Caenorhabditis elegans: one gene and its partner. The protein of the gene in region 2 interacts with the protein of the main gene of each other region in a biochemical or structural test. Each region holds a gene or a part of one and is shown on either strand. Other genes may lie near its edges.

The links. The genes of interacting proteins can lie anywhere in the genome.
Region 1: the proteins of sand-1 (region 2) and rabx-5 form a complex in vitro, tested with the Caenorhabditis elegans proteins (one study listed by BioGRID).

The regions. Positions count from the first base shown.
Region 1 is NC_003281.10:10,602,428-10,612,081, reverse strand, and holds the start of rabx-5 (Rab5 GDP/GTP exchange factor), read right to left. Parts: upstream 6,713-9,654; coding exon 6,650-6,712; intron 6,471-6,649; coding exon 6,355-6,470; intron 6,034-6,354; coding exon 5,933-6,033; intron 5,839-5,932; coding exon 5,787-5,838; intron 2,083-5,786; coding exon 1,526-2,082; intron 901-1,525; coding exon 763-900; intron 452-762; coding exon 199-451; intron 1-198. Other genes in the region: Y39A1A.2 (Reverse transcriptase domain-containing protein), read left to right, coding at 8,533-8,583, 8,663-8,773, 8,897-9,012, 9,148-9,376.
Region 2 is NC_003282.8:5,363,740-5,369,981, reverse strand, and holds sand-1 (Vacuolar fusion protein MON1 homolog), read right to left. Parts: upstream 3,116-6,242; 5' UTR 3,115-3,115; coding exon 2,924-3,114; intron 2,866-2,923; coding exon 2,711-2,865; intron 2,395-2,710; coding exon 2,042-2,394; intron 1,992-2,041; coding exon 1,585-1,991; intron 1,534-1,584; coding exon 1,260-1,533; 3' UTR 1,117-1,259; downstream 1-1,116. Other genes in the region: F41H10.3 (RNA-directed RNA polymerase), read right to left, coding at 1-176; F41H10.4 (GRIP domain-containing protein), read right to left, coding at 3,402-3,562, 3,612-3,774, 3,827-3,940, 3,989-4,830, 4,883-5,030, 5,078-5,203, 5,249-5,422; hda-6 (histone deacetylase), read left to right, coding at 5,761-5,796, 5,841-6,128, 6,172-6,242.

The sequences.
Region 1 (9,654 bases), on a different chromosome or scaffold from region 2:
TCATTTCTTTTGATTTTTCTAGAACAAGTTCAAAAATTTTTTTCCTAAAAAATTAGATAAAAACTGATCAAATGTAGCAATTTTTTTGAAAATTTTTTTTCTGTATTTTTTTTTCAAGAAAATATGAAAAAAATCGGTGTTTTTTTCCATAAATAAACTAAATTTTTTTCATTAAAAAAAATTTCTAAAATCCCTTACTCATCAGATTTTCCATGCATATTCGTCAAGTTTTTCGCGAGACTTCCCGCCTTTTTTGCAACATTTGTTATAGTCTCAATAGTTCCTTCAAGTACATAAATTGCCTGATTACATGCTGAATTGATAACTGAGAGTGGTGGAGCCAAATGTCCAGATGTGTAGGCTTCGAATTCAGATTTTTCCATTTGAAGACTCTCGTGATTCATGTTTCTGGCAAATTCGAGGGCACAGGAGAGATTCGTGAAGAAATAGGCTGGAAAATGAATTGAAAATTAGAACTTTTTGGTTTTTATAGACGTAAAATAACCCCGAAAGTGTGGATTTTTTATATGAAAATTTTCAAAAATATGTAAAAAAAAAGTTCAGGAGGTTGAAAATATTGAAAAAGGGCCAAATTCGCCTAAAATCTTCAACATGGAATAATTTTTTTAATTAAAAAAAATAATTTTCCGGTCGCCTGGACCAGTGAAAATTGGCCAAATTGAAGATTTTAAATTGCAGAATCTAGTTTTTTCTATAAAAATTTTTTTTCGAGAATTTTGGATGCTTAATTCAAATATTCACCAGCTTCTCCACTCATAAGCCTCGCTGGAATTGCAAATCTTGATATAAATTTGACATTTGATTGAATTAACGGCGGATTTCCACGGAATAAAACGTATATTAGTGTTGGCAGGAATTCGTCAGCCGATGTTGAAGCTTCTGAAAATTTTTGATTTTTGAAACAGGTGATTTTTTTTTGGTCTTTTGGGATTGAATTCATAAATATTTGGCTTTCTTGGAATTTTTTTCGGAAAATTCGTTCAGAAATTTTTTAAAAATCTGTTATTAAACTATTTCGATGAAATTTTACTCTTTTTTTTTCAAATTCCACTAACTTATTGTTAGGAAATACATTTTAAAAACAAAAAACCGGATTTTTGAAGTTTTTCGGCGAATTTTTTGATTGAAATTTTTTTTCCAATTTAATTTCCAATTTTTCCAATTCCAATAAAGTCCAGGAAATTTGTACGAAATTATGTTTGATGCTGAAAAAAAATTTATTTAAATAGAAAAAAACTTAAATTTCGTCAAAATTCCAAATGTTAAAAAAATATATATTTTTCCAAATTTTTTTTTCAAATTTCATGTATTTGAAATAATTTTAATTTGAAAAATTTAAAAAATTGAATAAAAAAGTTGTCTGAAAACTGGAAATTATACACTTTTTAAATAGAAAATAATTTCTTTTTTTTTCAGAAAAATAAACCGATTTTTCTGTTTTTTTTTTGTTGATATTTATCATTAAAATTTTTATAAATCTGTTCCAGATAAAATAAAAACTCACCACTCTCCTTAAGCGCCTCAAAAATCGCCTTACAAGATTTCGTCAAACAATCAAGCTTCTCAAATGCAGATCGTTTTGCATTAATCTCAATAAGTTCCGAAATAGCTTCATCAATTTTATCTCGAACCGTTTGTTTCTTAAAAACCATCTTAGTTTCCAGAAATCCAGCAGTAACCCAGTGAAGTGATCGAATACGGTCTTGCAACGACATATCAGCTACTTCTTCTTCATGATTTGCACAAAAGAATATTGAATAACAAAATGTTGATATATACTTTTCCACTTGGTCCATCACATCTTCCACTTTAACTTTACAATCCGGTGAATCAAATAACGAATGTCCACCGATTCGTTCTCCAAGATATTGATAATAACTCATTACAAGTTCTGACATATCATCTGAGCTCATTCTCATTTCTGAGATCTTATTCACCGCGTTTTTCACTGAACGAGCAATTTCTTGAGCCATTCCTGTTGAGAGATTCGCTACGAGAAAATCGGTGAATTGTTGACGGGCTTCCAGAGAATCCGGGGAGAGTTCTCGACGTCTGGAATGACTTTTATTTGGTTTACTTTGAAATTCAATTTGAAATGTTTGATATAACAAATTTGATAAAACAATTTAAGATTTCGCAGAGGTTAAATTAAAACAACTATTTTTTTTAATATAACAAATTTTTATTTTTGACTGAGTTTTTGATTTTTGAAACATGTGATCTTCTCGGTCGTTTGGTATTGAATTCATAAATATTTAATTTTCTTGATTTTTTTGATTTTTAAATGTAAAAAAAAACGGTTTTTATTATTGAAATACATTTCTGACGTCACAGCCGTATTAAAATACATGTTTGTATGTTATTTAATACAGTTGTGACATAATTTTTCTACACTTTTCAATTTTTGACACTATTTGTATAACCACATTTGTTTTTACTTTTTAAACGATTTCAGAGAAGTTTTCAGAAATTTCAGAATTCCAAGAATTTTAACAATAATCTAGGCTGATTTCAGACTTTAAAGGACATTTTCAGAGGCTTCTAGTAAATATTTCGTTTCAAACAAATTCCCATAATTTCCAAATTTTCTGAACATTTTTTCATGATTCTAAAAAATATTTTTAGAAAACTTCACATAATCCTTTATACTGTTTCAGACTATGCAAACAATTATTTTTGAAAATTTCAGATATTTACATTTATGATTTATATTTTACAGAATATGAATTTATACATTACAAAAAAATAAAATAAGCCGTTGATATTTAATTTCGGTATTTTTTATTTGCTTCGATTATTTGGGATATCTATTTTGGATAGTTAAACACCCGTTTATTGAACTTAGAATTTTTTTTATCATTTGGAAAATATCAGTAGGTTCTATTTATATCAGAGGTGGGCGGATATTTTTTCGGATATTTTCTAATAATGAATTTATCAATAAGTATTGATGTAGTTATTCTGGAAGAAATGTATCCGAACAAAAGAGTAACTATTAAGCAACATTTTAATATGATAAAACCTAGAAAAATTCTACAAGTTTTCTGTATAAACGATATGCAAGTCCATTATCCGATATCCGTAATATCCGTAATATCCGATATCCGATGTTGCTCGGCTAATAAGTTTTAAGGTCTCGGTAAGGAAAACTTGTAGAATTTTTCTAGGGATTATCATATTAAATGTTGCTTAATAGTTACTCTTTGGTTCGGATACATGTCTTCCAGAATAACTACATCGATACTTATTGATAAATTCATTATTAGAAAATATCCGAAAAAATATCCGCCCACCTCTGATTGGTATTTAATGATTTGAGAAATGCTGTAAATTTCTAAAGTCCAAATTTTTTGAAAATTTGCCATTTTCCCCCAGTTTTACTAATTTTTTTACTATTTGAAGCTACTTTAATTTCCCAAATTCCAGAAATAACGAATTCTTTTTTCAAATTGTCAATTTCAATTAATAGAAACTACTCTATTATGCCATGCAAATTTCATCTGAATATGCACTTTTCTTTTGTCCCACGAGTGGTGAGCACAATGACTAACCAAGTAGTTCATGTACTTTTCAGGAACAGAAGCAAAAAGTGTGCTCTCTCCGTGTCTTTCCAAGCTCGGCGAGCTCCTCTCAATTACATTTTCTTTTTTTTCTTCTTTAGGAGAGAAGCTGCTCTCGAAAACAAGGAGAACGTGTCAACGAGAAATGGAAAAAGGAAAAAGAATTCTCAGAATTGTTAGACAAATGAGTCAGTGATTAATTAGTTATTCATTCACAAGAAAGTTGAACTTTTTCTTTCAGACAAACATGTTCTTTGATATAATATTATGTGGCGATATGAATTTTTTATTACTTCCTGGAAACCGAAAAACACTGTTAGAAAATTTTTCCTTTTTTTTTCGATTTTTCTCAAAATAAAACCGAAAACTCGAAAAAAAAAATTGGTGTCAAATTTGCTCAAAAAAGGTGCAATTTTTTTGAATGAGAAATGCCAATTTTGGAGTGGTTTTAGGATTTTTTTTTGGGTTCTGCCAAATACGAAAATTGTTTGTATTTCGGTTTTGATTTAAAAATTCGAAATAAAAAACTTTTTTATCCTAAAGTCCTATAAAAATCGATTTTTTTCCACAAAAAATTGACTCCAAATCTAGTTAAAATAGCTAAAAATTTAATATTAAAAATCATAATAATTAATTTTTTTAGTCAATTCAAAAGTTATGCTTACTATTAGGGTTTTTTATACAATTTTGATCAGAAAGAGGTTCAAAAAAATTGATTACAAAATTGAACTTTATCTTAGAAATGAGATTTCAGGTACATATTAATACGAATTTTTTGAAAAATTGTTCTATACTTAGTGCTCTAGAAACCTCAATTATAGGCTAAAATTCTACTTTTAAAGTCAATTTTCCAGTGAAATTAGATGAAAATTACAGGTAATTTTAGAACAAAAAAACTCTGAAAAGCTTTAGAAAATTCAAAACTTCAGTTTGAAACTTGAATTTTCAGCAATATTCTCTAGGTTTTGAGCTAATTTTTGGTAATTTCCGCACTTTCAGACTGCTCTAAAAGCATTTTCTCTGATTTTTGCATTGAAAATCCCCCTAAAAACCCCATTTTCCAACTGAAAAAAGTCTCAAAAGATCGAAATCTAAGTGCCCTTAGAATGTAGTTCTCTCCTTCTTCTTACGCACCACTTCTCATTTTGTATTCGGTCACGCAGACAGAGAAAGAGGGGAGATTATACATCTAAAATTGCTCGTTTTGAACTCAAATTTTTCAGAAATTAATGTTCTTAGAATATATTTTCTTCTAGAAAATATAGCGTAGTGACTGAAAAAGGAATTGAACAAATTGCATATATATTTTTTCAATTTTGCAAAAAAAAAATCAAGCCATGTTTGAATTCCCAGGCAAACGTTGTTTCGAACTATACAGTTTTCAAAAATTGACCGATAATTTAAAACTGTTTTTCAAAATTGCAAATTTATGAAAAATTCTACTTTTTAAAGCATTTTTTTAAATTTCGAGAATATGTTTTATAAACCTTTCAAAATGAATTTCCAGGGTTTTTCAAACATTTTTCAGTCATTTTCAGACTTTTCCCTCTTTTTTTCCCAAATCAAATCACAAAAAATAACTCTCTATTCCCGTCCGACTAAAGCTCATCGTCTATTCGTATAGAGAAAAAAGTGGCAGAGATGCATAAATATATACACAGCAGCTGTATATAGAATAACAACTCTATCGTAAACAAAAAACAACAACAACCACTAATTCTCAGATTTTTTGCCCACTTTTTGACAGAAATTGGCCTAAATTTTAGAGTCCAAAAACTGGTAAAATTGCGGAAAAAAAGATATTTTAGAAAAAAAAACTTTAATAATCTTGAATCCAAAAACATCTTTTACGTCTAAAATAACCTAAATATGCTCGAAATCGCGGAAAAATTGGTTTTTGTTTTGCAGACAACGGCCTCAAAACTGGAAAAATAGTAGAAAATTGTTGAAAATTTGTCTGAAATCCTCAAAAAAAAATCTGAATTTTTATCTAAAATCACCCGAAAATCGGTTAAAATCACTTTTCCTGAATATTTTGTTTTAAAAAAAACTCGAAATTATTGAAAATTGGCTTTGAAAATTACAAAATCACTCGAAAACCAGTGAAAAGGTCTATAATTTGCTTTAAAATTTGAAAAAATCAACAGAACTTTTTTAAACCACCTAAAATTTTTTTTTATACTATAAAATTTCTTAAAAACCCACCGAGTTGGTGTGCTCGCCGGTGACGTGGAAGTTGGTGAACTGGTTCCGCCTTCTGAAAAATAGCAAATTTTAAAACTTTTTTCAAAAAAAAAATCTGTGGCCGAGTTTTTCTTTTCACGGCCACGTAGCAAAATCCCCACACTTACCTGGAATCGGAGACGTTTTAAACAGATTTTTGATGCCACGTGACTTGCTTTCTGTTGTCGATTTACGCCGCTCTTGGAATTGATCGAAACTTAGAAGAGATCTGGAAAAAAGGGATATTTGAGCGGAAAATTAGGTTTTTTTTTTTCTGAAATTTGAAAATTTTTTTTTCGAATTTTCAGCGATTTTTTCTTGGAATTTCAGGGGTTTTTTATTTTTATTTTAACGATATTTTTCTGAAATTTCCACGAATTTTCTTGGAATTTCAGGTTTTTTCTGAGATTTTAGATTTTTTCCTTATATTTCAAGGTATTTTCGTGGAATTATGAAATTTTTTTTTTAATTTTAGAGTTTTTTTTTTTGGAATTTTTCTTTAAAAAAGTATTCAAAATTCGAATTTAGGCATTTTTTTTCAATTTTTTACCTATTCTTCGCAAAATCCTGACATTTTTTCATCTCATTCTGATGAGCTCTCCAACATTTTGAGCAACGATTCTCCCACTGTGGGGTCCCGTAGAATCCGCATCCATTGACACATAACTGCAAAAAGAAATTGATTTTTATTCAAAAATGAATATAAACGATGCTCCGATATTCCGCCTTTAAAAATTGGGTTACTGTAATTTCAAAAAATCTTGATTTTTTAAATTTTCATTTATTTTTTTTATTTTTTCAGGAAAAATTAATATTGGAAATTTTAAAAATAGGAAAAAACTCACTAAATCATTAGCTTTTAAATGCATTTTTGCTTTCTTGTCCTCCTCGCCATGCTTATCTGACATTACTTTGTGGGGTGTTTGAAACTGAAAAATTTTTAATTTTTTCATGAAGAAAAAAACAATTTTAAAAATGAGAATTAAGGGTCGAAGAAAATATAAAACTACAGTTCAAATTAAAGAAAAAATAATTTTAACACAATTATTTTTCGAAAAATCACACAAAAATTGAAAATTTCGAAAAAAACTGACTTTAGAGATTTTGCGAAAGCTTATTAATTATTTTTTAAAAAATCTGATGTTTCAGATTAAAAAAAAATTAAAATTAGTTGAAAAATTGGATTTTTTTGATTTTCCAATTTTTTTCAATTGTATTTATTTTAAAAGTAAATTAAAAAAAACATTTTTTCCTTAAAATTTATAAATTATCTGAAATTTCTGAAGCTGAATTTCTAATCTAAATTTGAATTGAAGGAAAATGATAATAATAAATTCTAGACTAATAAAACATTACATCTTCGGCAAAAAAAATAAATTAAAGAGGTTTTTGAGCCAATTTATTTTAAATTATCCAACTTTTCAGTCCAATTTTCAGTGAAAATTCAATTTTTAATCAAATCAAGTTTTTGGAAGTAAAAAAAAATAAATTTAAACATAAAATCTAGAATTTCTGTCAATTTTTAATTAAAAATCGACCAAAAACCAAGAAAAATGGACCCAGGAGGGTTCTATTGGTGCTAAAGTTGTCCCCGTCTGGCAGGGAAACTCAAGCCGAAGATGGAGGAGGGCTCTACGCGGTCACAAGTTCGCTTCTCTGCGTCTTCACACTCTCATCCTCGATTACTCAGTCTTCATGGAAGCTCCGCCTCCATCGTGCTTTGAAAGCTGGAAACAGCTGCTCGTTCTGAAAAGATCGAGAGGACATACTCGGAAATCCGATTTTTTCGGAAATTGGTTTTCAGAGCGTGCCACCAGCCATGAACTTTTGAATACATACACAATCTGGGGGAATTGTTAGAACGAATACAATGAAAATTTCCTGGAAAATGGGGATTTCCATGTGGATCAATCAAAATTTTGAAGAAAAAAAGCTAGTTTTCGAAGAAATTTTTTGTTTTTGTGTTTGCCCATCAAATTCAACTTATTTCGGAGTTTCCACCAAATTTTACAGGATTTTTCTTTCAAATTTGCAAAAAAAAGTTACATTTTTTAGCAAAAAACTATTTTTTGTTTAAATTGTTCTGCGCATTTTTTAAATCTTATTTTAGAGATTTTTTCTCGGATTACAAAATTGATTTATTACGGTAACACAAAATTCTGAGAATGCGTATTACACAGAACATCTGCCGCGCAAAATATCTCGAAGCGAAAACTACGGTAGTTCTTTAAATGACTACAGTAGCACTTGTGTCGATTTACGGGCTAGATTTTTGTAATGAATTTATTTATCGATAGAACATTTTTTTAAAAAGCAAAAAAATGAGACTATTATCCGAAGAAATATTCGAAAAGAAATTCATATCAAAAAATCGAAAAAAACTAATTTTTCGATATGAATTTGTTTTCAAATATTTCATCGGATAATAGTCTCATTTTTTTGCTTTTTAAATAAATGTTCTATCGATAAATAAATTCATTACAAAAATCGAGCCCGTAAATCGACACAAGTGCTACTGTAGTCATTTAAAGAACTACCGTAGTTTTCGCTTCGAGATATTTTGCGAGTCAGATGTTCTGTGTAATACGCATTCTCAGAATTTTTTAATACCCGTAAAAATTCCTAAAAATAATTACGTGGGGATTTATCGATTAAAAAAATTCAAAACTTTTGACGTGGTGTTTTTAAGTGAAAAACCGTAAAATTGAATTATTTCAATATTTTCAAAATGAGCAGCGAAGGATCGATTGTTCCTATCAAACTTGCACAACGATTTATTGTAAGAATTTTTTTTTAATTTATTGATTTTTCCGCAATTTTCCAACCAAAAAACTAGTATTTAATCGATTTTCTTTCAGCACGTTATCGATTTTCATGCGGATCCTGTGACTTGTATCAGTGCGTCTTCTGGAACCGTTTCCTACGATTCAGTGACGTCACCAAAATACCCTCAAAATGACGCAATTCTCGTAAGTTTTTTGGGGTTTTTATTAGGACAACGCGCTCTATTGATAACCTGGGAGTGAATCCTGAGTGGAAAATGATATTAATTTAAAGGCGCATGCACTTAGAATACAGTAGACAATTTTCAGTGTGGCCAACAACCGCCTCCCCCTCCTCACAAATCGACAATTAAAACCGTATTCAAGAAGGAGCTCATGGAAATCCCGATTCCAGTGGATATTGAGATGTTTCGTGCGATTCAAAAGTTAGTCAAAGATGGCCGCGGAAGAGAAAACTCGGCCACGGGGAATCAATTTTGAAAAGCGAAAAGCGTTAGGCTTCGTCGCAAGACTTCGAAAACGACAGTAACCCAATTATTTTACAATTCAATATTTCCCAGAGAACAAGATGCAAGAAAATACGCGTGCATCAAAAACTCGAAAAATGTGAATGGTTTTGCGGAAGCCGGAAAAGAAGTTGAATCGGCGTTCAAAGAATGCTTGAAGAATTTCAAGAAGCCTAAGAATGATCCAACGAGAAAAGCGGTGACCAGTGTCTCAATCGAGTTTCCGTCGGGGATCTCTGATCCTGTTCATAAGCCGAAGGATATTCATAAAGTTCATTTTAAAGTATGCCTACGGCCTATTGCCAGAGCATCTCGGAAAATTTCTCGGAACCCGGAAGATATAGGGCGCCGCAAAACACTATCTAACTCATCTATTTATTATTTTAACTTAATTAAAATAATAAACAGGCGAGCGTTACAAAGTGTTTTGAGGCGCCATATATCTTCAGAATCAGGGGAGGTCATTTTAATTTCAAGAAATTCAGAATTTTCAGTGTGGGAAAATGTATCGATAAAAATGATTTTAATATGGCTTATACATATTTTGGCGGTTCTTCGAAT
Region 2 (6,242 bases):
GTGTTTTTCAATGATTTGCTGCGTTGTTTCGAGGAGCAAACTTCCCAGAGTGTTGGTGGTGCGTTTGGCGGAAAAAATCGCTTGAATTTTTGCAAGTTTTCTTGAAAACGACGCTGTGGAGCTGTGGATGTCGATGGCACATGGGGATCGACGCGTGAAAACACGCGGTACGACATTTTTGAGCTGAAAATAGTGATATGAGGATTGAAATGACTTGAAGAAAAGATAAAAGCAAAGAAAACTAGAAATTAAGATTATTAATACAAAAAATTTGGCCTAAAAACGATGGGAAATTCGAAAAAATACAAAAAATGATGGGGTCAGGAAGTGCGCTCCATTGGACTAATAGCAGAAAAAATCGATTTTCAGGCGTTTTCAGATAGAAATCCATGCTAATTTGTTTTTTTTCGTGCCCAGAAATCTTTTGTTATGTGTGAAAGGGTGCTTTTAAATTGTTCTAATACCCATCAAAAACATAATATAAAGAGTTATTCGTATAGTGAAAGTGCAAGCGGCGTTTCAGGATTTTTATAGGAATAAGTTTAGCTAATTACAAAAAAAAATTGTTTTTACAATTAAAAAATTGCGACAAATTGAGGAGAAAAAGCTCGAGCTTAAATTTAAAAAAAAACTTTAAACTATTTTAAAGTTGAACCAAATTTTAAAAAAATGGGCAGGCGTTGAAAAATGGAAGTTTTCAAAATACTATGCGTTTCTCTTCATTGAAAACAAATTTCGTTTGAAAATCAAAAAGTTTTCATGCAAAACTAAAATGTCACAGGTTTCTGGTTGCCATAGCCATCAGCTAGAAATTCAAAGAGCGCGTGTTGGTGGACGAGGAAAAAGCGATGGTGAAGGAGAAGGCGGGTAGAATAAACCGACGAAGTGGGGGACACGGCCGAAATGACGGCGAAAGAGTGTGTGAGAAGCGGAGAGTGCAGAGATATAGAGACGAGCGAGACTCCTTCAAACACACTCCGCTTCCCCCAACATCAATTCGAAATGTGTACGTTTTAATCGATACTTTTCCCTATTCTTTCCAATAACTTTGTTTAATAAGTACATTAGATCATAGGACGTCATTTAAGACGTATTACACTTGCTGTAAACAGTAATGAATGAGAGGTTCGCTTTATTAATTTCTACTTGATCTTTTTTGGCAATTTGAAGGGCAGTAAAAATATATTGGCAAATTAAAATCTGTGGTTAGAAAACACGTAAACGTTTTAAGTATCACAATTTTTACAAACAGTTGAAAATTAAAAGGATGTTGAATTAATGATAAAATATCGTTGTTCGTGAGATTTCAGCGATTTCAGAAGCTTTTCGACGACTTGGAATGCGATTGTTGCGGTGACAAATGGTCCGAATATGCAGTAAAGTGAAAAGAGATCAGTGACCCAAACAAAAAGACAATGTTTGGTGCCACGTACGAAAAGAGTTCGAAGATGTGGATGGAGAGATGATAATGATGAAGATCGACGCATTTCTGAACGAGCAATCCATCGTTCGTCACGTGTTATTAGGGGAATTCTGAAATAATAGAGCGCATATAATTAATGGAACATTTAGAGGCTAACTCACTTTGAGGCTGACATACAGACTTGCTTTGAAGAATGATTTAAATACAAAAACGACCAAAGCGATTCGGAATTCGATCCGATTTGTGATATTTGATAAAGATTCGGCGTCTTCATCGCCTGTGCAAAGTTAACAAAGAACTTTTGATTATTTTCCAACTTCGTCACAATTTGTTGTCGAACTTCCTTGAGCCCATCGAAATGATCTCGTTTCACCGAAAGAAGCACAATGCACACAGGAATATCTTGCTCTTTATTGCACCATGGATACGATATGTAGGCGTAGAAAAATCCTGTGTCATTGAACCGTGGCAGACAGATTGGAACCCAATTCTGGGAGTCTGTTTGTAGAGTATTATCAGAGACAAGGTTGATGACAATGTTCAAATCACGAGGATGAATCATATATTTCTGAAACATAAATCAAAAATTAAATTAATCTCTATTTTTTATCATCCCACCTTAAATCTAACCATCGCTGCGATTTGCCTTCTCGCAATCATTATTCCGAAAAGAGCACCATCTAATTTCGCTGCTCCAAGACATGAAGCCATCGTTGTTGATAGAAATTCCCGATCTGATGGATTCATTGGAATTGCCGAAATCGAAGAATCGACAAGATTGATCGGGGAGGCTCTCCACGAAGAAATCGATGAATCAATTAAACGATCGGTTCCACGAAGAAGTTTTCGAAGATCGTAATTGTCACCCTTTTTCTTGTATACATTTTCCAATTGACTTTTGGAAAGAATCGAACAAATCTGCTCAAAAAGGACTTCCAGTTGTTGATCCAGTTGCTCCGGGTATTTTGAGACTGAAATCGTTGAAAGTTCTATCAAAAAAGAGAGAAATCAACGCGAAAACGCGCTAAACAGCGAATTGAAATAGTTCCGCCTCCGAACAATTGGTCTCGTTAGGTTCGGCGGCAAAACTGTAAACCCAAACGTTATGCTCTTCGAAAAATTTACGTTCCAACAGTAACAGAAAGCATAAAAGACGAAAAAATCTTGGCAATTTGCCAAATCGGCGAAACGAACTGAAAACATTTGAATTCTTGATTTAGCCGGTAAATTCCTAACGAGACCCATGCTTCGGGGGCGGAGCGCGTTTCCATTGCATAAAATTCTTACCAACGCAGAAAATAAGCGGTGATTTGTGTAAAAATTGAATGTGATTATCCTGTGACGTCATCGTCATCAAACTATCACCCCAAGATTGGCATCGGCTCACAAATGCACAAATTAGAGCCACCAAACTGACGATTTCACCCTCATTTCGATCGTTGCTGTAATTTTTAAAGAAGGCTTTGTGTGTTTGAATGGATAATATTTGCAAATTCTCACTTTACAAAAATCGGTTTTCCAAATTCGCTCAGAATAAACACCTGAAATGGAAGTTGCTCAAGATGTTCAAATATCACATCAGCATTTTTCAAATTCTCTTCAACATCTTCAATCTCTACTTGTGACACTTTATAACTCGCTTCACTTCCAGTATCGGCAGCTTCTGATCCACCAGGTACTTCTACTTCCATTCTGAAAATTGGCGAGATTTTTCTGAAAATTTCATGTTTTTTCAAGAATTAAGTATTGCTGTGGATTCAAAAAATGAGAACCAGACAGAGAGAAAATAAAAAAATAATATGGGAAACTGAAAATTAAAAAATTATTATGCACAAAGAATATACAAAATGCTTAATTGGAAAATTAGATCAATTGAAATTTCAGCAAAAAATACAGAAAAAAAAATGCAATGGTTTCAGTAACAATATCTACATATGCACACACGGATTCAATAGAAATTTTAAAAAAAGATATAAATCTACAAGCCAGTTCTCTCCATAATAGTTTGCAAGTCTCTCTGAAGAATTATATTTTTAGAAAGTGTCTCTTCAAGCATTCTTTGCAGCTTTTTGTTCATTTCACGGACATCTGAATCTCGGGAATCTTGGCCAAGTGTATTGAGCAGTTTTCGGAATGACGCTGGAATAATTTTCAGTATTTAAAAAAATGAAAATTTTAGAAGCTAAACCTTCAAGTTTCGGTTGAACAGAAGAAGAAGAAGAAGAACCCAGATTATTCTGTTGTTGAAATCCGGTGCCAAGAGGTTTTTCGCGGATCAAATTCTCAATTAATTCTCCTTTTTCCGTCACTTCCCGTCGCAAGCGACTATTTTCTGATTCGAGTTGGAGAATCTGAAAGATGATTATTCCAATATTTCAAAGAATTCTGCAAAGAAGATCCTACGGAATCTGCATTTTCCGAATGAATCTTTTGTAACGTGGCTAGACGAGTGATAAGTTCAACGTTCTCCGATTCGATTGCCGACATTGATGAAACACTTTCGTTTCCGTCGAAAGTCTGAAAAATTTGATGAATATATGTTAGTCCTTGATTAAATGTGCTTACATGACTACTTTGCCTATCATTTTCTGGTGGAACCACATGCCATCCAGCTCTTTCTTCGCTTTTTCTCTCATAAGAATCAGCTCGTTTTCTCTCTTCTTTTAATGATTTTTGTAGCTCTTTCACAAGAGACATTGCTTTTTTCACTGCGAGCTTCTTGTCTTCTTCCGCTGATTTCAGCTTCTCCTCTAAACTCGTCATTTTCAAAAGGAAACATTCTTTATCCGACTCAAAACTCTTTTTAAGATCATCAACTTCCAATTGATAACGAGTTTCGAGAAGAAGTACTCGGTCTTCTAAAAGTTTTTCGTGGTTCTTTGCAGCTTCATTAGTGTTCTGTTGGATTTGAGACGAAAGACGATGATTTTCCGATTTTAAAACTTCGATCTTTTTTTTCAAACCTGATATTTCTTGTTGAGATATTTCAGTCAGCTTTAGTTTTTCTGATTGTAGAGCAGCAAGGTTTTTAGAAACGTCATGATTTAGTTGATTTTCAGAGACGAGTTTAAAATTCTCAGCTTTTAAACTGTCAATTTCAGATTTCTGACTCAACATTGTCTTTCTATATTCCAGATTATCATCAGAAAGCTTTTTATTTTCATCCATCACTGCATTGTTACTCTCCTTCATTTTTTCAGCAATCCCTTCATTTTCTCTGCGTAATTCTTCAATTTCTTTCCTAATTCGCAAATTTTCCTCGACAACCTTCTCCTTAATTTTAAGAATAGCTTCGGATTCTGAAGTTATTGAGAGTAAACGATCTTCAAGCTCGACGTTCAATGTCTGACAGTTTTCAAGTTCTTCACTGAGACTTGTAACTTTGTTGCTTATAGCAGGAATTGTTTCTGTAACCTTTTATACAATTAATTGTATTGAACAAAGTTGGAATAAAATTACCTTGACATAGCAAAACTTTTTCGTCTGTTAAATTTTTAATAGCTTCTTTTAATTGTTCCACTGTTTGCCTTTCTTCTGCTTCTTTTTCCAGAGGATGATCAGAATAAGACGACATTTGATTCTTTAATGTCTCATTTTGTGTGGATATCTGTAATTTGGACATTGAAAAGCTTGAATTTTAAATGTAAAGTTTACTGTCTTGAGCTCTTCAAAAAGGGTAGATTGTTGAAGGCGAAACTCTTGCTCTTGGGTCTCTAGTTTCCGCCGAAGCGACTCAATTTCTGCTTCATCTTTTTTCGAAGAAGATGCTCTGTTGATTAACTGAAAGATTTAAATTAATTATAATAAAAATAAACTTTTCCTCACCTTGCTAGCAAATTGCAATGCTTCATTTTTCGGAGAGTTTTGGTGTTGGGAAGCTGCTGCGTTCTTCTTTTTAATCTCCTCTCGTAACTCGTAATTTTCATTTTTCAGCTGCAAAAGTTGCTCTTGAACAAGAAGGAATTCCTCCTTCGACAAGCCACCCGACTCTGTCGCCATTCTGCAAAAAGTTTGCAACGTAAAATACATAAATTGGGTGTTTAGGAGCAAACGTTTAAAAAACGAACTATAAATCTACACAAGGCGGTTGGAAAAATCAAAGAAAACTTGATATTTCATGTTTTTGTCCAATTACTCTTATTGATGCATAACACAAAAACAAAAAAACATAAACAAAATGCAAAACAGGTCAGAACACACGCGACTTGACGGTAAAGTGCACAGATGGCCGTAGCCTTGAGTTGAATATTCTAGTCCACGGCCATCACGAGGACATTTTTTCCACAGGATTTTTTAGACTTTTAGCGGTTATTCAAACATTTATCGTTTAGTTTTCCATGCTTTTCGAAGATAGGCAGAAAAATCGATCAACGGTAAGAAAAGTATATGTTCGTACAATCATATAATCTATTTACAGGGTCCAACACTCATCGGATTCAATCAAACTCAAAATGAACATGAGAATACAGTATGCCCAACACATCCGGAGTCTTCGGATCGAATTTTGAAGATTAAAGAGGCATTAACAAAGACGAAAATACTCGAAAAATGCACTGTACTAACAAATTTTCTGGAGATCGACGATGCTGACTTGGAAGTAACCCACGATAAAAGCATGGTTAAAGATTTAATGGAATCTGAAAAGAAAACACAAGAAGATATTAATTCACAGTGCGAAAAATATGATTCCGTGTTTATGACAGAGGTATTAATTGGGTAAAAAGAAGCACAAAACGTTGAGAATAAAGTTTCAGAACTCGATGAAAGTTGCCAAAGATGGTGTCGCGTGTGTTCGAGATTTGACGAATAGAATCATGGC